Linked DNA regions of Mus musculus. The protein of the gene in region 1 interacts with the protein of each later gene in a pairwise test. Links are inferred from orthologs where the notes say so. Each region holds a gene or a part of one and is shown in the gene's direction. Other genes may lie near its edges.

Evidence for each region.
Region 2: the proteins of Egfr (region 1) and Mdh1 interact in a protein complementation assay, tested with the Homo sapiens proteins (2 studies listed by BioGRID and IntAct). The link is inferred for Mus musculus from reciprocal best matches to the Homo sapiens genes EGFR and MDH1.
Region 3: the proteins of Egfr (region 1) and Tpi1 interact in a protein complementation assay, tested with the Homo sapiens proteins (2 studies listed by BioGRID and IntAct). The link is inferred for Mus musculus from reciprocal best matches to the Homo sapiens genes EGFR and TPI1.
Region 4: the proteins of Egfr (region 1) and Hdac7 interact in binary tests that used the Homo sapiens proteins (3 or more experiments, as listed by UniProt). The link is inferred for Mus musculus from reciprocal best matches to the Homo sapiens genes EGFR and HDAC7.

Annotation. Positions count from the first base shown.
Region 1 is NC_000077.6:16,865,910-16,871,381, forward strand, and holds part of Egfr (epidermal growth factor receptor isoform 1 precursor), read left to right. Parts: intron 1-1,321; coding exon 1,322-1,390; intron 1,391-2,198; coding exon 2,199-2,317; intron 2,318-3,309; coding exon 3,310-3,451; intron 3,452-5,066; coding exon 5,067-5,183; intron 5,184-5,472. UniProt on the Homo sapiens protein: Receptor tyrosine kinase binding ligands of the EGF family and activating several signaling cascades to convert extracellular cues into appropriate cellular responses.
Region 2 is NC_000077.6:21,568,249-21,574,161, reverse strand, and holds the start of Mdh1 (malate dehydrogenase, cytoplasmic), read left to right. Parts: upstream 1-2,227; 5' UTR 2,228-2,429; coding exon 2,430-2,432; intron 2,433-5,913. UniProt on the Homo sapiens protein: Catalyzes the reduction of aromatic alpha-keto acids in the presence of NADH. Plays essential roles in the malate-aspartate shuttle and the tricarboxylic acid cycle, important in mitochondrial NADH supply for oxidative phosphorylation.
Region 3 is NC_000072.6:124,810,473-124,816,661, reverse strand, and holds Tpi1 (triosephosphate isomerase), read left to right. Parts: upstream 1-2,503; 5' UTR 2,504-2,539; coding exon 2,540-2,654; intron 2,655-3,748; coding exon 3,749-3,872; intron 3,873-3,956; coding exon 3,957-4,041; intron 4,042-4,125; coding exon 4,126-4,258; intron 4,259-4,694; coding exon 4,695-4,780; intron 4,781-5,057; coding exon 5,058-5,145; intron 5,146-5,274; coding exon 5,275-5,393; 3' UTR 5,394-6,076; downstream 6,077-6,189. Other genes in the region: Usp5 (ubiquitin carboxyl-terminal hydrolase 5), read left to right, coding at 1,003-1,096. UniProt on the Homo sapiens protein: Triosephosphate isomerase is an extremely efficient metabolic enzyme that catalyzes the interconversion between dihydroxyacetone phosphate (DHAP) and D-glyceraldehyde-3-phosphate (G3P) in glycolysis and gluconeogenesis.
Region 4 is NC_000081.6:97,827,810-97,833,982, reverse strand, and holds the start of Hdac7 (histone deacetylase 7), read left to right. Parts: upstream 1-2,487; 5' UTR 2,488-2,605; coding exon 2,606-2,624; intron 2,625-2,677; exon of another isoform or gene 2,678-3,297; intron 3,298-6,173. UniProt on the Homo sapiens protein: Responsible for the deacetylation of lysine residues on the N-terminal part of the core histones (H2A, H2B, H3 and H4).

The DNA of each region.
Region 1 (5,472 bases):
AAATGAGAGTTATATATATTAGAAGATAGGGAATCTCTATCCCCTGGATCTCTTCCTTCTACTCTCCTCATTGAATAGCTGCAGATGCGCGTTCCTTTTGAGAAGTTTGCACTTCATCTTTAACAACAAAATCAGTATTATGAGGTGGCTTTAAATGCTATACATGTGAGGCATCTGAGATTCAGAAGAGCAGCCCACTGTGGCCAACATATTTTATCATTGATAAAGTTTACAAATTGAGGTTATAAGAGTGAATTTATGAGAAAGAAAAAAAACATAAAATCATCAGCTACTCCATGCATCAATATAAGTTCCAAATATGTATTAAGTATATGTAAGTATATATAAATAAATATGTTATATTTATACAAAATATAGGTGTAGTTCTAGAAGGAAACATGAGGATAAATATTTATAGTATCAAGTATCAAGTTGCAAAGAGAGTTCTGACACCGTCAAATAAGCTTCCATGTGAAATAAAATTGTTCTGTGAGATAAGATTGCCCGAAGAGGGCTACAGAACTAAGCAGAGTGGTCTCTACAAGCCTAATGGAGGTGGTAAGTAAGCAGCACCACAAAAAAGTGAAGGCGAGAAAAGTAAATGTGCTTCCCAGAAAGAAATTCTCAACATCTGTGCTGGTCAACATGTTGATCGTCAGTTCTCAGGATGATTAATGGCTGAATAGAAACCCTTTGCAGCTGCAACTTGATATTGACCAACTATAAAAATACAAATATTTAGCAATTACAAAGATTTCCAGACAGTAGTATGCCAGCTATTAACTAAGGTTTTAGGTGATTAGCCAAGTGACTCACAGAATTAGAATGTTCGCTTCCTGTGTCATGTTCTGCACCACTTCATGGCTTGGAGGAAAGGAGTGTTCATTTACCAGACTCAACATAACATCCTAAATATCTAGTGATGATTGCCCCACACAGTCAGTCAAGACTGAATGTAGCAAGGTGCATAAGTGTACATTGAGCGGATCTGGTTAGAGAGAAGCCTAATCAGGTGGCACCTCCGAAACCCTAAATTCATTAGCTTTGTCATTTGTGTGGCTGTGACAAGTCAGTAAGTAACCTCTGTCTCAGCTTCCACAGCTGAAGTACAAGCAAAAGCAGCCCAAGGCTCACCATTTTTTCTTTTGTGCAGGAGTCCTTTAATTTAGCTTACAAAGCATCCAACCCAACTATGAATACAAAGTTTCCAAGCTGTTCCTCATTTCTAGGACATTCTTTAGGACCTTGAGAGAGTTGTCAGTTGCGTGTTATTTGTTACTTTTATTGAAATGCACATTTAACTACTTGATTTTTATTTCAGGCCCCAAATGTGATCCAAGCTGTCCCAATGGAAGCTGCTGGGGAGGAGGAGAGGAGAACTGCCAGAAATGTAAGTCAGTGCAGCATCAGGGCCTGAGAAACATGCCCTGGTGAGGGAGTCCACACAGTATGTGGTCCTCCACTCCTCCGCTTTGTGACTGAACAAGTACAGGAGCTTGGCAAAAGACTCAGAGTTAACCACTTCATGAGCATCAGTCTTGGAAACATCACAGTGCACAACTATCTAAGGCTTACTACGTGGGATAATTTAACCTGTCATTAAATGCAAGAAAGCCAACCACCCAAGTGTCCATGGTGACACACAGGATGCCTTGTCCCCTGATCCAATCCTCCCCGTTTTCCAGAGCCAACTAATATAGAAGTTTGACGGTGTTGCTCCACAGAGTTCATGTGTGAATCCTACTAACTTAAAAAACAAAGTTTAATTTACTTCAGCATGGTTACTGCTTCACTCAAAGAACCTGGGCGTGTGTCAGCTTCAAAATTGACTGTAGTTCATTGCCTTTGTGACCTAACTATCTCGTTCCTTTAAACACTGCCTCCTGCCAGGAGCTCTTCTTGCTATGTGCCTTCTGTATTGCCAGAAATTCCCTAGATAATATCTACTTATTCAAAAGATCTGATCAGACTTGTTTCGATTATTTCTCCCAAGTGATTTGAGATAAATGATAAAAATGTACCAAGGGGAAAGTTGTGATTATATTGTTTGGCTGACTGTGAAAGCCTAGAAGCTGCTCCCTGTCACAAAACCCATGGTTCCTCCTTTATTTCTTTCTACTGGGTGCAAGCATTCCTTGGTGTCTCTAGAAGATGAGCTGCCACTTAAACACAGCTCACTGGTAATCTTTCTTTTTCAGTGACCAAAATCATCTGTGCCCAGCAATGTTCCCATCGCTGTCGTGGCAGGTCCCCCAGTGACTGCTGCCACAACCAATGTGCTGCGGGGTGTACAGGGCCCCGAGAGAGTGACTGTCTGGTAAGACTCTGGCTACTGGGGAGTTGTGCTGCAGAGCTGTGCACGTGCTCGACATCTGACTGTGACAGCAGCCTTCATGTGGTGCACATTTTAATTAAGTGTTGTCATGGACAACAGTAGCAACATTATGAGAAATGAAGGGAGCTCTTCTTCTGTAAGACCCCCTGAGAACCATCCCAGTTACCCAGACCTTTGGGCAGTATGGCATGTGCACACCATATTTTCATGCCTCTTGGGCTGCTCCCCTCCTAATCCTACCCCATCCCACAGTGTCTCCCCTCAGACCCTCTACCTCTGGTGAAAGCTCTAGTGTTAACTTTGCAGCTGTCAGGGGTTAGTGAATGTGATTCCTGGGGTCCTTGCCAACCCAAGCAAACTCCATTAGGCTCCAGAAAAGGAAGTCCACCTAAAGGTAGAGTCTAGAGTATTCTATCATTCTGGAACAGAAGATTCTTAAATTCTATAAACTAAACCTAGCTCCAGGCATCTTTTTTTTTTTTCACCTGGGTAGTCTGGTCTGATTCAAATGGGCAGCCCGGGGATAAAACTACAAATGGAGTTCTTAGAAAGATCCAACAGCTCTCTACATGGAATCTTCTTGCTAAGATTTCTGCAGTTTGTCCATAAATTATAAAATATATTCTTATAGTGTTCTTTATGAAAGAAACCCAGTAAAAACTGAGTTTAAAAATAGTTACAGCATACTTTCCAATATCATGTGTAGATTTCATTATTACCTTTTTTTTAACCACAAACCCTAGGCTGTATCAATTGAGACAGTCAGTATACTTAAAAATGTATACTTAGTACTCATAAGAGGAAGGTGTTTCTGACTATCCTGGAAAGGCTTACTAGACATTTTTCCTCTCTAATTGAGCATGTAAAACACCGAAAACTGTCACTGTCCCACTGACCTGCAGGCTGCCTGGCACTGGGTTCCTTTCATTTGGATGCCACATCCTTGACCAGACATGTTGTCCCTCCTATGACAGGTCTGCCAAAAGTTCCAAGATGAGGCCACATGCAAAGACACCTGCCCACCACTCATGCTGTACAACCCCACCACCTATCAGATGGATGTCAACCCTGAAGGGAAGTACAGCTTTGGTGCCACCTGTGTGAAGAAGTGCCCCCGTGAGTTTGCCCTTTCACCCAACAGTCCTCATTTCCTCTTCTGTCTTATGCTAGAGTCCTGGGCAGTTTGGAGGCAGCCACTGTGCTTGCCTTGTTGTCCTGTAGGCTAGTGTCTGCCTGGACAGGTGCAAGGATGAGAACCCCACTCAGTGCTGAGCAATGGAGGCAGAGGCAGCCTGCAGCAGTCAGGATGCCTTCCTTTAAAGGGTGGCTTGACCTGCACTGATCCAGTGTTGCTGGCAGCCAGACTGTATAGTACAAACCACCTATCGCTTCACCCCAAGTCAGAGAGGAAGCTTCAGTAACCTGGAGTGTCTTGGAGCTGACTAACACAAGGTCGTGACCCTCTGGGACAACCTTTGTTTGACTCTGCATTGTTTGACTCTGCATTAAACAGACCTAAATTAGAAAAGGCAGCAGACCCACCCCCTTGAGGAGAAGAATTTAGGGCTATGGCTGGGCTCTTGGAGTATTTTGGTTTTGGGTTTGCTTTGATTTACTCATTTGGGTTCAAGTTTTATTCATGTATGATGGTACTCTATGGTACCTATAGGAAAATGGCAACATAGATCGGTCCCAAACAGAGAAAGTGAAACAACTCATAAAGAGCCTTAAAACCAATCTTGACTTCTAGAAAGTAAATTAAGACAAAAAAAAATGTAAAGTGGAAACTATAAGGGTGAGATTTTGCCTACCTAGATTTAGGTGATTGAAGTCCCATTAGAAAACACACACAGAGAGGGGAGGGGAGGAAGAGGGAGAGGGAGAGAGAGGGGGAGGGAGAGGGGGAGGGAGAGGGGGAGGAAGAGGGAGAGCTAGAGAATAAGGTAAATGGAAAACTAAGATGAAGAAAAACTCATGACAGTCATGCCATAGATAGAATCTTTGTGTGAAGGCTTAGTAACAGATCTTTAAACTCTGCAGGAAACAAAACCTATGATGACAAGAGCATATGACTCACAGATATAGTACCAATGCCCACATTTTGAGCATGTATTTCAGAAACTCAAAATAGGAGCATAGAGTTTCTAGTAATACTGTAATCATAAATATTAATTAGGTTAGACTACATAAAGGTGAAGGGAGTGGAGAGAAAGATTGGGGCGCCTGTCTAGGAAGCAGAACAAACTGGTCCCCTCGTTGTCCCACCAAGAACTGCATGGTGGATGGGTGGGGAAGGGCAAAGCTGGTATCAAACAGAAGAAACTGTAGTTACCTCAATGGGACATGGTCTGTCTGATAAGCATTAGTGTGTGTGTACTACATATCTTAGGTTTCCTTGTATATTCTAAGCATAGACCTGTCAGAGGAAATTCATATTCAGCAAGGGGCTTTCAGCCAGTGAACACGCATGGTGGTGTTTCCTCTCATAGCTGTTTTGCACCTGAGATCAAGTATCTGTGTTTGTCCACATTACTGTCAGAAAAGCCATTAGACTAGAGCTTGGTTCCTCTTCTACTTGAAATCTGTCAGTCTTTCTCCTCAAAGAGAAGTCAACCAAACTAAGAGGGACCTTTTTAGCAGCCCATACACAGCAGGACATGAGGATGTTTGTGGAAGGTTAGGAGCACCTGCTGTAGCCTTCAACACCTTCTTTTCATTGCCTCTTCCTCAGGAAACTACGTGGTGACAGATCATGGCTCATGTGTCCGAGCCTGTGGGCCTGACTACTACGAAGTGGAAGAAGATGGCATCCGCAAGTGTAAAAAATGTGATGGGCCCTGTCGCAAAGGTAAGCAGTAGGGTTTTTTTCTTGATCTTTGTGCCGAACTCTTATGGCCACCTCCAAATAAACCCACCTTTTAATCTTTTTTTAAAAAAATATATTTATTTTGTCTGGAAAGTAGAAGGTAAACTTGCAAAGCCAAATTGCATGGTGGAGGTGGGGGAGTTCTCTTGAACCAGGTACAGAGGCGCCACCTGCAGCCCAGGTGGGTGAACTGTTGTAGCCAGAGAGAGGCGGAGCCAATGTCTTTGTGAGTGACTAGATTCAGTACAGCCAGAACATTCAAATCTGACAG
Region 2 (5,913 bases), about 4.7 Mb from region 1:
CTACCATATATTTGAACTCCTGTCTTGATTCCTTCAATGATGAACAATGACATAATGTGGACACATGAGCCAAAAAGACCCTTTCCTCCCTAAGTTACTGCAATAATAACCCTAAAACAGCCAGCAATAGTGGTGGCACACGCCTTTAATCCCAGAACTCGGGAGATTCTCTCCCTCTCAGTGACTCAAGTTTGTGTTAAACTGATGAAAACTAACCAGCCCACCAAAACAGAGCACATCTTTCAACAATTACTCACCAGACCACCATGTTACCATTAGGAATTACAGAGTTTTGTTTCATGCTACAGTGGTTCCTGAAAGGCAGTAACTAAAACTGCTATCCTAAAGTCCCAGAGCAGATTAGAACAATCACTATCAAATCAGCTCCAGCCCTTCTCTCTTCACTTGAAAATCCTGTAATCTCTCCCTCAACCATCAAGTGAAACTGGAGGCAAGTCATGCTATCTCTAGAGTGTGATATTTGCACATATGGTTGTTCAGTAGGAAGTACTATAAAGTAACAGAACTAATGCCTATTAGAAAACCAAGAAGAAACAGAAACTACAGAGACATGCCCTGGAATTTGAGAGTCCCTGACACAGAGGTAACATTTAGAAATGCAACCCACAAATGAACTAAATGTGGACAGAGACACAGGAAGCATTCCATTATAAAAAGATCAGTGCTCAAGAACAAAATTAAGGCATCAAATGAATAAAGTGATTCTAGGAGTCATTCAAGTACCCTACAGTCTATTGAAACCTAAATGCTATTGGACCCAGAAGTGGCTAGTTTTATGTCAACCAGACACAAGCTACAGTCAGTCTTAAGTTAAGAGGAATTCTCAATTGAAAAGAAAAATGCTTCCACCATAAAGATCGGGCTGTAGACAAGCCCATAGGGCATTTTCTTAATTACAGATTGATGGGGAAGAGCCCAGTCCTTTATGGGTGCTGCCATCTCTGGGCTGGTGGTCCTGGGTTCTATAAAGAAGCAGACTTAGCAAGCCATGAGGAACAAACCAATAAGCAGCACTCCTCCATGGTCTCTGCAACAGCTCATGCCCTCCATATTCCTACTTATTCTGAGTTCCTCGAATGATGGGCCAAAATGTGGAAGAGTAGGCCAAATAAATCCTTTCCCCTAACCTGCTTTTGGTCATGGTGTTTCATCGCAGAAATAGAAGCCCTGACTAAGGCATCATATTTCTCTCTCCAAATACTAAATCTTCCAAAAACAAAACTGAAGCCATCCACCATCCATTTAATAGTGACAGAAAATTCTGACGTTAGACCAAGAGCATATTCATTGGTCTGTTCCAAGGCACATGTTTTCGAATATCCGTACAACAAACGGAGAATACAGATTTCCCTTAACAACTTTCATTTTAAATGAAAGCCTCTTGAGATGTTTTAGCTGCTAACATTTCGCCTGAAACAATCAGTGTCTCCCAACTTCCCCTGGAAGTAACAGGTTTCCAAAAAGAGAATGAGCAAAAAGTGTCAATATTCACAGTCGGCAAAGAAAATTAGATCGGTACACCACAAGTAAACACAAGGAAGGGGCTCACTCCACAAACAAAACTTTCTGACTTTACTTTGGAAAAGTTACACTGACTCAAACTGCAAGACACTCTTCGTCCCTCCTGAAAACTGTGGCATCCACACGCTCCTGACACTAACAGGGGACTCCGGAGGTCGCCCACAACCACCGGCTTCGGATTCAGGATACGCGCATCAGTGCCGCACCCTGTTCTGACCCCCAGATAAAAACCCTCGGGGCCGAGCTCACCAGCCTGGGACGTGAGAACACAGCTCCACAAGCTCTTGGTCTGGAGAGCGCTCAGGTGAGGCTGCCTCGTCGCCTAGCAACGGTGAAGCTGCCCGTTCTTCCGCAAGCGTCAATTCCTCCCGCCTCTGAGAGAGTTTTTAAAAGGTTTTGTTTCCGGGTCGAGCGGGCTTTAAGCAACGGAAGGTCTCTTAGCCGCCCTTGTTTAGTCTTGGGGGAGGATAGATTCTCGGTGGAGCGACGTGTGCTGTCGCTCAGGGGTCGTTTCTCCTCCCTCGAGTTAACGCCTCCTCTCCTGCCAATTGCTGAGCGCCATCAGGCAGGCGCCTCACTCAAAGCACCAACCCTCTGCTCACAGACGCGCTCCAATCACCGAGGCTCAGCCCCGGGACTACTTTGCAGCGAGGCGCGTAGGAAGAAGGGGTTTGGGGGAATTGTAGTTTAGCACTGTCAGGAATGCACGAAGGTGGGCGCCAGAGGTCGCCGGAAGAACTACACTTCCCAGAAAGGGCCGTGTCTCCAGCCGAACCTTTGCGGGCCAGCCCCGCGTTCTCTCCCAGAGTCTGTTCCGCTGTAGAGGTGACCTGACTGCTGGAGACTGCCTTTTGCAGGTGCAGAGATCGGCCTTGCAGTTTGCAATAATGGTGAGTGTGGGCTCCTGGAACCTGCAGCAGCTCCGGCCTCTCGGCCTCCTCCTGCGCTTGATGCGCTTTTAAAAAGCAGTAATGCCGGGAGCTGTCCTCCGCGCGGTTTGCAAAATCTGACTCATTCTCACGACTGTCGCAGTAACCCAGATACTGGAAAGGGGTTCGCAAGGACTCTAGAGAAATCACTGTCCTTGGAAAGTCGGGTCTCAGTCCTTGCGCAGGAGGGACAAAATTTTCTCCGAAGGACCTTAAAGGATTTGTTGTGGGGGATGAGAATTATGGGAGGGGAAGAATTAGGTCCTAACACTATTTTGCCTCTTAAGCTCTTGGAAAGAATAGGCCTCTGATGTTGATTTACCGGTAGTGCTCCAGGTTATGATCCCAGTTTTCAGGAGACATGTTTCCACCATATTTGATTTAAAAGAAAACAAATGTTACTGAAAACCTATTCTTGATCTCCGTTTGTAATGACAGGACTAGCATCGCTAGTCAAACAGTGCCGATATTCTTTACTACTCTGTCATAAATTCTGAAGGCCTCCTTGCAGATGTAACGTAACCATCTTGTTGAAGCTCTAGATCTATCTTGTCCTCAGCGGGCGGAGGGGGGTGACGTGAAAGAGAGCTCTGACGTAGGACTAATCTTCATGCTGTTTGAAGGTGACATTTGCCACCAGACTGGAAATTGCTAAGTACTTTGAAATTTACATTTTAAAAATACGTGTTGTCCTTTAATATCAAGATGGGAAATGTGAGATGAATTGAAAATTTTTGGATGAATTGGAAATTTCACAGAACCCAAGGAGACATGTTTTCAAACAAGGACAAAAACTCCCTCAATCTCTATAAGAAACCCTAAGGGAATAATTACTAATTTCCAGTCATTGTTGCCTAGTTATTTTGACACATAAGTAGTTATTTAAATTATGGCTTAAGCAGTCTCTGTCTTAATAATTTTAGTAATAAAGTGGCACTAGTTATCCAAGAACTTCAGACTTTAGGCTGTTAGGCCTATATGAAAACCTTTTTACAATCATCTTATCCAAAACCCCACTTTAAATACTAAAATTTAATTTGTTGAGACTCAGAATGCGAGTTGCTCAAGGTCATAAGGCTTGCACCTAGGGTCTCTTGTTCTTCCCATTTACCAGGATTGTATTATGTGTTTGGCAAATCACTTCATAATCCCCTTTAGGAAATAAGTCCACAGAATCAGCATGTAACATCTGATAGCTTTGTTACATGTCATTCAGAGTGTTGAAATTCTGAAGTTAAAGGGGCATTTAAGGATTGTTTCATCTAATCTTAAAACAGCCTGTCATGGTCCTTGATTTCCCAAGGTCAGAGAGATCCAGGGCCCCTAGTTAGAGTGTAGAGTTTGTTATTCACTAGATGGAACTGGCCTCACCCTTAGAAGGTCACATCTGGGCCAGAAGACATGAGTTGTTCCAGGTAGAAGAGTTCTGTGATGTTGCAGTCTCACATGATTCATAACCATCTTGCCTCCTGGGAAGAGGATGCAAGCAAATTGCTGCTTTAGAAAAGACCTGTCAGTTCCAGTCACCGTGGTGGTACACGTCCTAAATCCCAGCTCTTGGGAGGCTCTGTGATTTCAAAACCAGCTTGGACTACATACTAAGTTCCAGGCCAGCCAGGGCTGCACAGGGAGACCCTGTCTCATAAAAAAAGAAAAGAAAAAAAAAAAAAAAAAAAAAAGAAAGAAAGAAAAAAAAAGCTGTCCTTTTTTTTTTTTTTTTGACAATTCAAATCCTTTTTAAAAGGAACTCTGTCATTGTCCATAGGGGAATCAGCTAAGGACACCTAGAGGAATCTGAATGATACTGTTTGTCTTTTATATTGCAGAAAAATGTGCAAATAGAAAGTAAAAAGAGAATGCTATTCTGGGGAATAACAGAGGGAAAACTTAAAGCTTTACAACTAAACAATACATTCTCAAAGCAGCCTGTAACCGCAGGAAGGTCATTAATGCCCCGCAAGAGAGAAGCCATTCCTTTTTGGGTGTTGGCAACATGCCCAGATATCTGAGCAGAGAATAGTAACCCACACTGGCACTGTTACACTGTGTGTGACAAGTCAGTGAGGCTCTCCTCCCCCCTGCTTCTCAACTGCAGTATCTCAGGAAAGCAGGAGGAACCAAACTGGTGTCTCCTTTACCTACTTCATCATCAGACCTTCAAATACTAAGGTAACCCCTTAAGCCGGAAGTCACCAGGCACAGAAGGAAACTGCTAGGATAGAATTAACTGTTGATTCTTGGCCACAGCCTCTTCACTACAGGCTGTGATACTGGGAACACGTTTTTAATAAATGGCTACATAATACTGTCCTGGCCATCAGCTAGACTAGGTTGAACTTTAAGAGGAGATTGGCACTTTCCCCTCCGTTCTTACCCAGCTTCCCTCACGTTGTTCAAGTTGAACTTGGGGGCTTTGGGCAGTGGTGATCTTTTGTTGTTTTAGAGTCTCACAGTAGCCCACACCGGCCTTACTCTTAGAAATCTCAACTTCCTGTTCCCCTATCAGCCCTAGGATTGCCGCCACACGTCACCATGCCTGGTGGCAGTGTGCTTTTGTTTTTGTTTTATCTTTTTTTTTTTTTTTTTTTTTTGACTACCTTTTAGCTTCACCCTTATGTTATTCATTTACATGACAGTTTACATTGAAACCTGTATGAAGAGCACAAATTTTAGTCAAAGGAAAACTGCTCTGAGGAGAACCTCACACTCTAGCCTAGATGACAGATGTGTAGATATATAACTGCTGGGGTTAAAGGTGTGTACTCCACTGCCTGGCTGAAACACCTTCACTTTTAAAAAGCACATTCATTCACTCTCCTTCCAGCTGTGTGCATTTCAGTCTTTGTGGAAGCTTACTTAGGCAATGGAGCTACTTCTTAAGCAAGTATTTGAGTTCCAGCTGTGTACCTGTTTTTATCTACCTGGTGGGATGTAACAGTGGCTAGAATTCAGATTGTAGGAAGATTGAGAAATAGGCAAAACCCAGAGGATAGGGAACAGCCTCTCCCTTCTCATTTCTTAACTTCAAAAGAAAGATAACAAGATGAAATACATATACAGGATTAAAGATTGGTCTGTAATAGTTAGTAATAGTTCCTGGTAATATCAGAATATAAGTCTTGTAAAGCTATGTATAGCAGAAAATAACCATATAGAATAGTGTGTTCTATTCATTCATGCAGTTTATTTTGGACATAGATACATGTTTTATTAAGTACATATTAATATAGATGCATATTTTATTAAAGTTGGCTTATTTAGGTATTAAATTTAATGTATCTAGTGATAAGGAAAAAGTAGGAAAGAAATCTAGGTATCAAAGAGAATTTTTCTCCATAGATTTCTGAGGTTTTATCTTTTGGTTATATTTTTCTACTCCTATCCTGGGTATGTTTTTGAGGAAGAAATCCAAGTAAAATCTCCTATCATCAGATTTTATGGC
Region 3 (6,189 bases), on another chromosome or scaffold:
AGGGGAGCCAGCAGTTGAAGCTCATCTTTGGCTCCATGGCGAATGAGGTTTAAGCGATCCTGTGCTCTGTGAAACCCTGTCTCCAAAGGGGCTGGGGTGGGCTATAGAGATGCTTGTTAGCGAAGAACACTTTCCACTCTTTGCAGAAAACCTAGGTTCAGTTTCCAGCACCCAAATGAAGGCTAACAACCATCCACCACACCTTCCAGGGAATCTGGCACCTTCTGGCCCTCATAGGCACCTGCACTTATGTCTGAGACACACACACACACACACACACACACACACACACACACACGCACGCACTCTCTTACTTTAAAAACGAATCCTTTGTTAAAATGGATATTAGCCCGTGGTCTCTCCTGCTCCCCTAGCTTCACAGGAATGGGTGGAAGGAGAGTGTAAAACACAGTCCCCAGTGAGGAAAGTCCTGACAGCCTGAGGTGGAACCAGAAAACTTCCCTAAGATCTCTATTCACACCATGGTTCAAGTGGTTATTAGTACAAAATAATTACAATTTTGCAGAATACATGCTGGGCATAGTGGCACACAGTTTTAATCCCAGCACTTGGGAGGCAGTGCAGGGTTGGGGGGTGTGGATGTATGAGTTCGAGGTTAGCCGGTCTACAGAGTGAGTTCCAGGACTACTGAGAGAAACCCTGTCTCGAAAAACAAAAACAAATACAGTTGCCTGGATGTAGTCATACACACATTTAATACCAGCATTGGGGAGGCAGAAGTAGCTAGATTTCTGAGTTTGTGGCCAGCCTGGCTTATATAGGGTTCCAGGACAGCCAGGTTTGTTGGGACCCTGTCTCTAAATGAACAATCTGAGGTCATCAAATGGGAAAATAAGATTTCGAAGCTCCATTTAGATGCTAGCTGGATGGTAGATTTGGGGATGTGGCATAGAATCAGTCGGGATCCTTCCCAGAAGCCCCTCCAGGTTGATGTGGAGAGCCCACCGCTCACCCTTCTCTGTCCCTTTCCCCACTCCCCAGGTGGGTGATCTACAATGACCAGAAAGTGTGTGCCTCTGAAAAGCCACCCAAGGACCTGGGCTACATCTACTTCTACCAGAGAGTGGTCAGCTAAGAGCCTGCCCTCAGCCCTTCCACTTGAAGCAGGGGACAGACCATCTGGCATGAGGGACGGCTGAGGGATGGACTTCAGCCCCTGCTCTGTACCCTTTTTGTTTTTGTCCCCAGCAGTGGGAAGGAGCTGGAGGTCATAGGAGAATGGCCAAACAAAGAGGAGGGGTACTCATTAGACTCTGGGGACAGAGCAGGGATGGGACAGGAGGGGCCAACTGCCTGTCCACAGTGGGACCTTGTTGCTTCCTTCCCCTGCCCCTTGAATCCACAGTGCTCTGCTTCTCTGTGATGGCCCAACCCCTGATGTGGGGCGGGCTCTTACCTGTGTGTGTGTGTGGATGTGGCTTTATGCATCTTTCCAGGGGAGGGAGCGACTGCGCCTCCCCTCCCCTTAAGTGTTTGCTCCCTTGTGGTGGGGCAGAGGAGGCTCTGAGGGAAATAGGACCCTCCCCACACCCTTTGCCCTTCTGCCTCAGCCTCCGGTCTGTCTTTATGGTCCTCTGGAAAAATGCCAAAATACATGATGTGAATAAAAGTACGGGGGCTGACTGGTTTCAGTTCTTTGGGGGAGACTTACTAGTTCTGGGGAGGATTACTGGAAGGGGAAGGTTTAGAGAGGCCCAACTGGGGTCCTTTGCCGTCCCCCCCCCCCAGGCAATTTCCTTTTCTCTAGCTCTAGAAATGCTCAGAAAACTGAGGTGGGGGGATGGGAAATAAAGGGAAAATTCAGAAGCGAGGCTGCATCACCCCCCCCCCCCCAACTGACCATGCACTTGGTCTAGCCCCACTGTTGCTGGGCAAATGAAGGACCTAGGGCAGGGTGGGCAGTCCACACTGACTGATATCAGCTGACTCCTTTACACGGCTGCAGCCAGCCTGCCTCCCTCCCTGCCCCCCACACACTAGTGTCCCACTCTGCTCCATTTGGCCAAGGTCTGACAACTGCAAGGACCCCGTAATCACCAGCGACGTTGGTGACACACTTGGCCCCCTTCCTTGTGATTACTGGAAGGGCTCCTCAACCGTGACTTTGCTTTATGCTATGAGGGAATGGGGCGCTTTCGGAGTTGGAAAGGTGCCCTCAACCCCAGGGTCCAAGGCCCTGCTGCTGTCACCTCCACAGGAAATGCCCCTTGGTCTTCTGAAATCCCAAAAAGTTTGTTTCCCTGAGCGCGAGGTTCAACATCTCAACTGTCGAGCCACTGAGGCAGGACGTTTGAGCCCCCTGAACCCTCTAGAACATTGATTGCTCTAGAACGCCAGAACGTCGAAACACCGGGAGGTGGAGAGGCAGATGGAGGGGAAGGCGGAGCAGCAAGGGGCCGGGCTAACCATGGCGGAGGGCGGGGAGAAGGAGGAGTTCTGCTTCACAGCCATCTATATAAGTGGCCAGTGGAGAGAGCCGTGCGTTTGTACTGACCTTCAGAGACTTGAGCCTGGTACAATGGCGCCTACCAGGAAGTTCTTCGTTGGGGGCAACTGGAAGATGAACGGGAGGAAGAAGTGCCTGGGAGAACTCATCTGCACCCTGAACGCAGCCAACGTGCCGGCAGGCACCGGTGAGCTCTCTGTTTAGCAGGGGCGGCGGGACGTGGGGGTGGAGGGTCGGGCGTGGCACCACCTGCTCAGTGTCTGAGTGGACCTGGATGGTGGCCTGGGGACAAGAGCCATTTGGTGTCCCGGCAGCAGAGACTTGCTGAAGAGGAAAAGCATTTAAATGCTGCACTGGGTTTGTGGGGCCCGAAAGGGGTTCTTGGGGTTGGGGGCAGGGTGCAAAGAAGATCGCCCTTGGGAGTGGACCGGAGCTGCACCAGTTAGGGGTTAGGGTCGAGAAGAAGAACCAGTGTCGGGTTGGATAAGCAAGTGGCACGTGTCCCCCAGATTGTGAGGGAGGAAGCTGAGCTTGCGCGGGCTCTCAGCTACCTGCCCCCTCGGCCTCTGGCTCCGTGCGTCTCTGCACGTAGCCCGAAACTCCTCCCCGCGCCGTCGTATGCTTAGGCCTCTGAGCTGGGGGCTTCCACATCCCTATCCTTCACAGCATGGGCCACTCCTGCCTTCCACCTTAGGCCCCTAGCAGATGCCAAACATGCTGAGCCGTTGGGGAATTAAAAAAAAAAAAAATTCAGCTCTTCTCAGACTGGAAATAGGAAAACACAAGGTCTCTGTGGGCTAGTCAGTTCCCTGCTGCTCACGACACTACCCCTCCATCCTTCCCGCTTCTACCCACCTAAATCGGGGAACCTGGAGAATGGCCAAAGGGTATTCTCTCTGATCATCCATTTCCCGAAGAGCCCAATACAAACTCCCGCGGTGGACCTCTTATGCTAAAAAATCCTTCCCGGGATGGGTATGTGGGATGGGCTATTTTAGAAAGGGGTTACCCCTGGAGAATGCTGAGTCGAGGAGATGCCCATTCCCAGAATAGCCTGAGGAAATTAGAGCCACAGCTGTTAAAAGAGCAGAGGGCAGGGTAAGGGCCGTGGCCTATCAGAGGCATTGGGAAGGCTCTGGTATTGCTACAGGCCTAGCCTGGGCTCTGTAGTGGACAAAGGTCAACTTTCTGGACTGAAAAACGAAGGAAAGTAGAACCAAGAAAGTGAATGCAAGACCGGGAGCCTGAAGAGTGAGGGGCTTTCTCTGATCTCGTCCTCAGAGGTGGTTTGTGCACCGCCCACCGCTTACATCGACTTTGCCAGACAGAAGCTGGATCCCAAAATTGCTGTGGCCGCACAGAACTGCTACAAAGTGACCAATGGGGCCTTCACTGGGGAAATCAGGTGAGATGGAGGCAGAGAGGGATGTAGAGGGAAAACCTTCCTCGTGAGGGCTTCTTGCCGAACTTTGGTGTGTGTTTGTTTTAGCCCTGGCATGATCAAAGACTTAGGAGCCACCTGGGTCGTGCTGGGGCACTCAGAAAGAAGACATGTCTTTGGAGAATCAGATGAGGTCAGTAAACAGGAGGGGAGATAGGGGATGCTTTGATCCTGGGGGAGAGGGTATCTTACCTACCTAGCATTTGTTCTTCAACAGCTGATTGGCCAGAAAGTGAGCCACGCCCTAGCAGAGGGACTCGGGGTGATCGCCTGCATCGGGGAGAAGCTAGACGAAAGGGAAGCCGGCATCACCGAGAAGGTCGTGTTCGAGCAAACCAAGGTCATCGCAGGTATCTCTGCAGACACGGCTCTCTGAGTCTAGCAAAGGCCACAGGGATGGAGGCGGGAGGTCAAAGGTCCCACAGCCTGCCTGAGTCATACTGACCCCGGGGAAAGAGGGCGACCTGAATGGTTCTTGTCACTGTTCCTACAGAAGGCTCAAACCCCACCTTCAAAAGCTAGCAGGGTCTGTGGGTAAAGCCTGAGGCCCTGAGTTTGAGTCCTCCAAAGACAGCCACGTGGTAGGAAAGATCCAGCTTCTACAAGTTGTCCTCTGCCCTCATATGTGTGCTATAGCTTGTACACACGCACGCGCACACACGCACGCACAAGTTGTTTCTAAAAGGGGGAAGGAGAAGCCCACCAGGGGCTGTAGGCCATAACTGTTATAACAGGAGAGCTTGGCGGGTCAGCTCCTTCCTACTCACTCTCCTCTCTGCCCCACAGATAATGTGAAAGACTGGAGCAAGGTGGTCCTGGCCTATGAACCTGTGTGGGCCATTGGGACTGGCAAGACGGCAACCCCTCAGCAGGTAACTACCCAGAGCTCCTCAGCCTGTCCGGCTTTAACAGACTCACACAGCTATGGAGCCCATCCAAGCCCCTTTAGAGACAGAGGGCCCCCAAACTCACCAAGGAGAGTGACTTTGCCAAAAATGTTCATTCCAAGCCTGGTGGGATTGGAGCCTTGCCACTCTCTGGTCCCGGGGCTTTTCTGGAAACTCAACTCTATGTGAGAACCAGTGGTTTTTACTCCTTGAATGATAGATAGGAAGGAGCTTACTTAGTAGCTCTGCCTCCTCCTTCTAGGCACAGGAAGTACACGAGAAGCTCCGGGGATGGCTGAAATCCAATGTCAATGATGGGGTGGCTCAGAGCACCCGGATCATTTATGGAGGTGAGTGGCTTTGGCTCTAGCTAAGACGGAAATGGGCTAAGACAGACTGAGGCTGCCTTGCACAGAGAGGTGGGGCTTAAGTGTTCTGATCATAGACCTGACCAAACTGTCTTCTTGTTCCTGGTACAGGTTCTGTGACTGGAGCAACCTGCAAAGAGCTGGCAAGCCAGCCTGACGTGGACGGCTTCCTTGTGGGTGGCGCATCTCTCAAGCCTGAATTTGTGGACATCATCAATGCCAAACAATGAGCACTGCCCATCCCTCTACCTGCCTGCATAGCATGGACTAGGTTGCCCAGAAGTTTAGTAACTGCTCCCACCGGTCACATGCTTCTGATGACATCATCTGCCCCATCTTGTGGCCTAATCCACGCTGTACCCTCCTGAGCCGTTTCCACCGCCCTATTATGGTTGGGACCAGGCCAATCCCTTTACCACTTACAGTGGGTAGAATCAACTGTCACCAAGGTGGCTCCTAGTGAGGGGAGGGAGTAGAACTGACTGTCCCTTTGGGCCCTGACAAGTGAAATCACCTTCCATTGGTTTGGGCTGGAAACTCATGGTTGGAGCACAGGAAGTGGGCTTCGTGTCACTTTGGCCTGTCACTTAGATGGCCTTGGCTCTAGCTTCACTCCCAAGTTCTACTGGATGTCTGATGCAGAAATTCAGAGCTTTCGGGTCTGAATTCGGTATACATGAGACCCTAAGAGGCCTGGGATAGTCCCCTCCCCCACGGTGCCAAAGCCCCTGTATTGTGTTTGTGAACCATCCTACATGTAAGGGAAATAAACACCTGGGCCTGAGCTTTGTGGGTTGTCATAATTCCTTAAGACAGTGATGGGGCTCTAGCCTGGGGTGGGGGAGTGTAAAACAAAACAAAAAACAATAATGAAACAGGTTGTGACAATACATCTCATTTTTTACTTCAAAAACCTCTTTGTCCCAGGCTGCCATGGTGTTTAATATCATTTCTATATGTCTTGCTCCTGTGAGAAGGGGAGGTGAAGGGGTCCAGCCCCCCCCCCCCAGCTTCACCAGCTTTTTA
Region 4 (6,173 bases), on another chromosome or scaffold:
TGGAACTTAGCATTGGCTTGGGAATCCATTGTGAGGCAGGGGATATTGGAGTCATAGGTAACTCTGGCAGCATCCCAGAAACATCTGGCTCAGCACCCCAGAAACATACCGCAAGTGCTGGTCTCCTCTCTGCCTACATTTTGCAGGCAGTGAGTCCTGATGTGAACCGAAAGCCACAGGTGACCATTGTGAGCATAGACGGGTGGTGAGCATAGATGGGTGGCCACACATCTTTATCCCAATCACTCAGAAGTCAGTGGTTAGACTGAAGAGAAGAGGTAGCTTCAGGAGCAGATGCACGGATGCTGCGCCAGTAGAAATTAACGAACAAGAAATTCAGCACAGAAACAGCTTTAGGAAAGGAAGATGTGGGGGCAATGTACGGTTACAGGAGGAGAGAGATAACAAGAGAGATTGGGGGTCCTCTGTACACAGGTTTCTTTTTTCCCCTGAAGTCTGTAACCCTCACGGAAGTCGTTGGAAGTAGAGTGCTCTGGTTTGGAAAGACAGCTCAGTGGATGAGGAAGTGTCTAGCAGAGCCAGAATGGACAACTTCCGACAGAGGGTCTATTAGAGATGTCTAGCTGGAGGGAGATCTTGGAAGGTCATGAATATTCATGAGTCAATGAAGAACTCGGAAGCCACGCTGAGGCAGTGCTTCCAAGCTAGGTACCTTGAACACTTGTGATAAAGAAGAGATTCAGACTCATAGACTAGACAGCTGAGGGTCAGTGCGGCTGGGAGAAAATCAGTGCTGGGGTGGAGTCCTTCAAGGGAAAGAAAATCCTTCCGGCTGAGGCTACAGAAATCGTGAAACATTTCAGAGGAGATGAAGGGATTTCAACAACAGAAGGGAGAAAGGTAGAGCGGCATTTACTCTGTAGGGAGTGTCTTAGGCCAAGGCAAGGAAGTGGGTAAGTATGGGGACATGAACAGCTAGCTGACAGGGCTGGCTGTGGTAGTAATAACGGTAACTACCTCTGAGCAAAGTACCAGGAGACACTGGGCAGGGATGTGTGTGGTGCCACATTGCAAGAGGCCATGGATGCTAGGGCAAGGTTGTAGTACCCATTAACAGGTACAGAGGAGTTACACTTAGCAGCTGAACAAGGGCACATGAGTCTAGACCTGTGTGTGACCTAGCAACATGGCCAACGTCCCTCTAGGCCACTCAAGACTCTGGCTTCCAAGATATCACATCTCTAGGTCTGCCTCATTTTCCCCTTCTAAAGGTTCTTGGAGTTCCGAGGACTCAGAGAGTAGATTGGGACCAGAAGGAAGCTGCCTTTCAGTGGCGGGCACCTCAAGGGCAGGGGAGCATAGTGTTCCTGGTGAATGACCGCTCTCCCTTCCCAGTTTTCTGACCTGCCAAATTGCTGGAGGCAACAGGACTGACAGGCCAAGCCAGGAAACTCAGTGGGAAGGTCCTCGGCCCCTGACCCTTGAATCTGACCTCCTCCCGTCTAAGATGGGGGAGAGGCAGGGAGGGCTTCAGTGCAAAGCCAGTCCTCAGCTGAGTTTATTAGCTGAGGGAGGGCTGGAGGCGGCTGCATTCCGACTCACAGACTGGAACATTTCTGTGATCCGCTGTAATGCACTGGGGGACACTGGGCACATTGCTGAAGTTTGACTCATAGGGTCCAGGAGTGGGGGGGCAAAGGAGGGTCATTGTGGAGGGAGAGGAATGGAAGAGGAAGAGGAGAGGATGGAAGGAAATCCCTTGAGAAAAATTTTTTTTAAGTTTCGAAAACTGCACCACCCCCCATCCCCTTTTTTTTTTCTTTTAATAGGAACAGACTGGACCCTTCTGCTCCCCTCAGCAGACAGTGGGGGCGGGGGGTGCCACTGGGGTTGGACTGGCAGTGGTTCAAATCAGATCCTGAAGTGTTCCTGAGGAGAGTCGTGTGTGTGTGTGTGTGTGTGTGTGTGTGTGTGTGTGTGGTGTGTGTGTGTTAGGATGGGGCAGGGGTGTCCGTCTGGGATTCCTTGCTCGAGACTCCAAGCGTGCCCTGCTCTCCCTGTGTGTAGCGCTGCCCTCGTTGACTTAAGTGTGTAGATGTGTGCACAGGAGTCCTTCCCCGAAGCGTAAAGCACCCTGGCTTGTGTAAACATGGATGCACGCCCGTGTACGCTGTGTATGCACGGGTGCGTGCACTCAGGTATCTGGGTTTCCGGGAATTGTGCGCGGGGCGCAGCGCCGCGCGGCGGCTGGGGCTTCCGCGGCCGCGCGCGGGTCCGGCCGCGTCCCGCGTTCCGGGTTCGGCGCTGCCTCCCGGGCGGTGAGCCGCGCCCCGCCGCGATCGGTGTCTGCCGCCAGGCTGTGTGCTGCTGAGCGAAGCCCGGGTGGTGTGTCCCAGGGCCGCCAGCGCCGGCCCCCTCCCTCCCCTCCCCCTTGGCCCGCTCTCAGACTCAGATAAAGCATTTCCTTCCATTGTCATCCTACCCGGCCGGCCAGGCTGCCAGGGCCCTCCCCCTCCCGGCCCCCTCCCTTCCTCTCGCCGTCTCACAGTCGCTCTGCAGCCTCCGGCGACCGGGGGGATGTGAGGCCGGCGCCCCGGCCCCCCGCCCGCCATGAGCCCCCGGCTCTGAGGGCCCCGGCCCCTGGATGCACAGCCCCGGCGCGGGTGAGTACCGGGCGGCCACCCCCTCCCCGTCCGCCCCGCCCTGCGCGCGGCACCCTGCGCTGCTCGCCCCGGCTCCCGCTCCGGCTGCGGCTGGGTCTCCGGCCGGTCCGGCTGGCCGGGTCCTCCGCGCGCCCTGGACCGCGCCCGCTCGCCCGGGCTCTGGCCCGCTCGCTGCCCCGGCTGGTTCCGGGGCCGAAGGGCTCCGGCCTCCTGCGGGGCGCCCACATCCGCCCGCTCCCGGGCAGCGACAGGCCCCGGGGAGGCAGTGGGAGGCCCGGGGCCGCCTGTGCAAGGGCCGGGCGTCCCGTCACCCTCCTCCCCGGGATCCGGGAGGCACGGCCGGCCGCCGAGGCCCGGGAGGGGGCGGTGCTCCGGGACCAAAGGTTTGGAAGCGGGAGGGCAAAGGCTAGGACCCACTGAACTGGCGCAGAACTTGCAGGGCTGGACATCAGCGCCCCTGTCTTGTAGAACTGGGCAGGGCCCTACTCAGATCCTGTAGCTGAGGGAAACGTCCCCTGGAGGGGTACTGGGCTGGGAGATTTCTCTGAGCATCACCCCTTATCCTTGATCACCCATCATAGAGAGACAGACACTGTGTTCAGCCTAGCAGTGAGGACAGTTAAAGGCGTGGGGAAGTGGGGGCCGCAGGCTGAGTACTGAGAGAGGTAGGGAGGTGGGGAGCTGGATCTAGCCCCCCCACCCCCACCCACCCCCAGTCTGATAGTACTGAGAAGTATGAGAACCCGGGCAAATCTGGCAACTGAACTGTCTTTTCGCCACTGCGATTTCTCCGCCAATTGAGTTGGAAGAAAAACCTAAGTCCTGCATGCAGGTCGCTTAATGAGTCCCACTTATTTCTCACTGGCTGCCGGTTTGGGGCCGACTTAGGGCTGACCATTGGTTCCCTGAACTATCCTTGCTGGCTGTCCAGCACTCCCCCAAAGCATCCTGCATCATCTGGCGGGGTTGGCTTGCTGCTAAGTATCCCTTCCCACATCCCAACGCAGCATCTGCTTGAGGCCCAGTTCTGCCTGCCAAAGTTTCAGGGTGATAATAGGACATTGGCCCTCGGTGGCCCTGGAGGGAGTGCAACATCTGGAATCAGGAGCTAGTCCTCCAGACTTTTACCTAGATTTGCTCAAATTCCATTGCAGACTGTCACTTTGGTTGGTTTCTATCCTCTAACTTGTACTTAGGTGACCCATTTCTTCCCAAGAGGACCCCCATGGGCTGCGGTCGTGCCTCCCCTCTGTGCCAACCTTCCGAGCCTCTTCTCCATCCGCCGCAAATCATCCTTCACTCTTAACCTCCTTGCTCTCTGCAGCCTCACGTCTCCCCTCAGTAACTAAGTACTTTTCTTCTTTACAGTGATTCCTGGGGGGGAAATGAGGCACAAAGCAGTTCCAGTGTATGGTACCCAGATAACTGAGATTGGACCAAGTCCTGAACCCAATGGGGCTGAGGCTTGTGTCTCTGTCTTTAGTTTTATGATGTCCTTTCCAAGCTAGACCCTCAGAGCTGTGCGTTGGAAAAGCTAGGTACAGGGTGCATCTGAGCCCCCTGCTGCTCAGTTTGGCCCCTTAGCTGGGGCATTTTTCTGTGTCTCAAGGGCATATGCTGAGCTTTGAGGCAAAGAAGGTTTCTCTTCTAAGCAGGTCACCTTACTTAAGCAGGCTTTTCTCAAAATTAACATGATAAGGTGGGTGGGTGGGGAGGATTCTCAGTTCACTTTCCAAAGCTCAGAGCTAGAGGGACCAACCGCACATAGCCAGTCAGTAATCCACGGGGAGTAAGGGAACAGGCAGAGCCTCCTGTGTCCTTGTCTCAGGGATAATGGTTCTCACCTATCTAGTTCCTAGTGGCTCAGTTGTGATGGGATTGGAAATGAGGACCTTTTTATAGCTGTAGGCACACTTCTTTCTTGGCCTTCTTTGCTCTTTGCCTTTCTTTAAGAACTGGTCGTTTCAACGTTGACAGGAGCCCCCAGAGAAAGGTGAGCTAATAATGTAAGGCCCAGAGTCACCTAGCCAAGGAATGGCACCAACCAGACCGGCCTCTGCCAGCATCTATTCTGAGCTCTTCCTTGGTTAGATGTGGTCTGGAGGCTGCAGGAGAGTATGGGGTATTGCAGGGCTTGAAGGCAGGTCCCCTTGGAGGCGCCAGCTCCAGGACTTTGAGTTTGTATATGTTGGATTTGTTCACTAGATGGGGCACTTCCTCTGGGGCAGGAAGCCTTGATTTCCTGTGTTGGGGGGTGGGTAGGGACCAGGAGTGAGGGGCCCAGTGCACCATCCCTGATGTTGTTTGGAACCACAGAAGGGCAGAGCTTTCGCTTGAAGCAGCTTCCCTAATCCAGGGGAGACAGGAAGGAGAGCTCTGGCGGGGAGGCCCAGGTTGAGGCTAGGGAAGGCTCTAAGTGCCATGAGCTGGGGGGTGGGTAGCGCAGCAGGAAGCCTGGTGAGCAGGTGACTCTGCCGGGTATTGTATTCCTTATAATATTTTCCCTGTTTCTGTGGTAACATTCCATGGGGGCCTCAGGCCTTAGGGCTGCAGGAAGGCACTCCAGACAGCCCTTTCCTTAGTGGCCCCACGTACTGGGAGCCCCCACATCTAGCTACTCCCTAAGCCTTTTGCTCTGTAGGACCAGGGCCTGAGAATCCAGTCAACTGGCCTGACCAAGCACTGACTCCGGGCCCCATGATGTCTCCTGGTGGGCAAGGGAAGAGAACTGGGCTGGATTTGGGGGGTGTCTCCAAGCAGATTAGAATACCACTCTCAGCCTCTGCCTCACCTTATCCCATCTTTCTCTCTTCTACCCTCCTCCAGTCATTCAAGGGGCTGTGGACCACGAGCCAGCTGCCTGGGGCAAGGGGTGGGGGTGGTAGAGGCAGGAGGGATGTTTTCATCAGCAGAGCATGGCTCCTTTAGTTCTGGACCTGTTCCCAGAGGCAAAATAAATTCAGGCTAGCATCTGTTTAGTGTGAGCCTCCGTGTGATATGTGCGTATGCACTGGGTGTGTGGTGGGTGTCTGTGTTTGCCCAGGGCTGTGTGTGTGTCGATGTGGTGGTTCTGTGGCAATCTGTGATCCATGTGCTGGCTCTGGTGGGTGTTTGGGGGTATGCACACATGTGGCACAGATGTGTGTCTTCTGTGTCATGTGCACCTTTGTAAGTTATGGCTCTGTGTCGGGTATATAGTGCCTATAGACAGGTTTTAGGGATTGTGTACCTATGTAAGACTTTTACACGTGTCCAGATCTTGACTTGTAAAAGCACAGCCCATGGTTTTTGTCCTTTTTTTCTCTCTCTTTCCCTTTCTCTCTCTCTCTCTCTCTCTCTCTTTCTTTCTTTCTCTCTCTCTCTTTCCCTTTCTTTCTTTCTTTCTTTCTTTCTTTCTTTCTTTCTTCTTTCTTTCTTTCTTTCTTTCTTTCTTTCTTTCTTTCTTTCTTTCTTTCTTCCTTTGTTAGTTTGTTTAATGATACAGGGTTTCTCTGTGTAGCCCTGGCTGTCCTGGAACTCACTCTGTAGACCAGGCTGGCCTCGAACTCA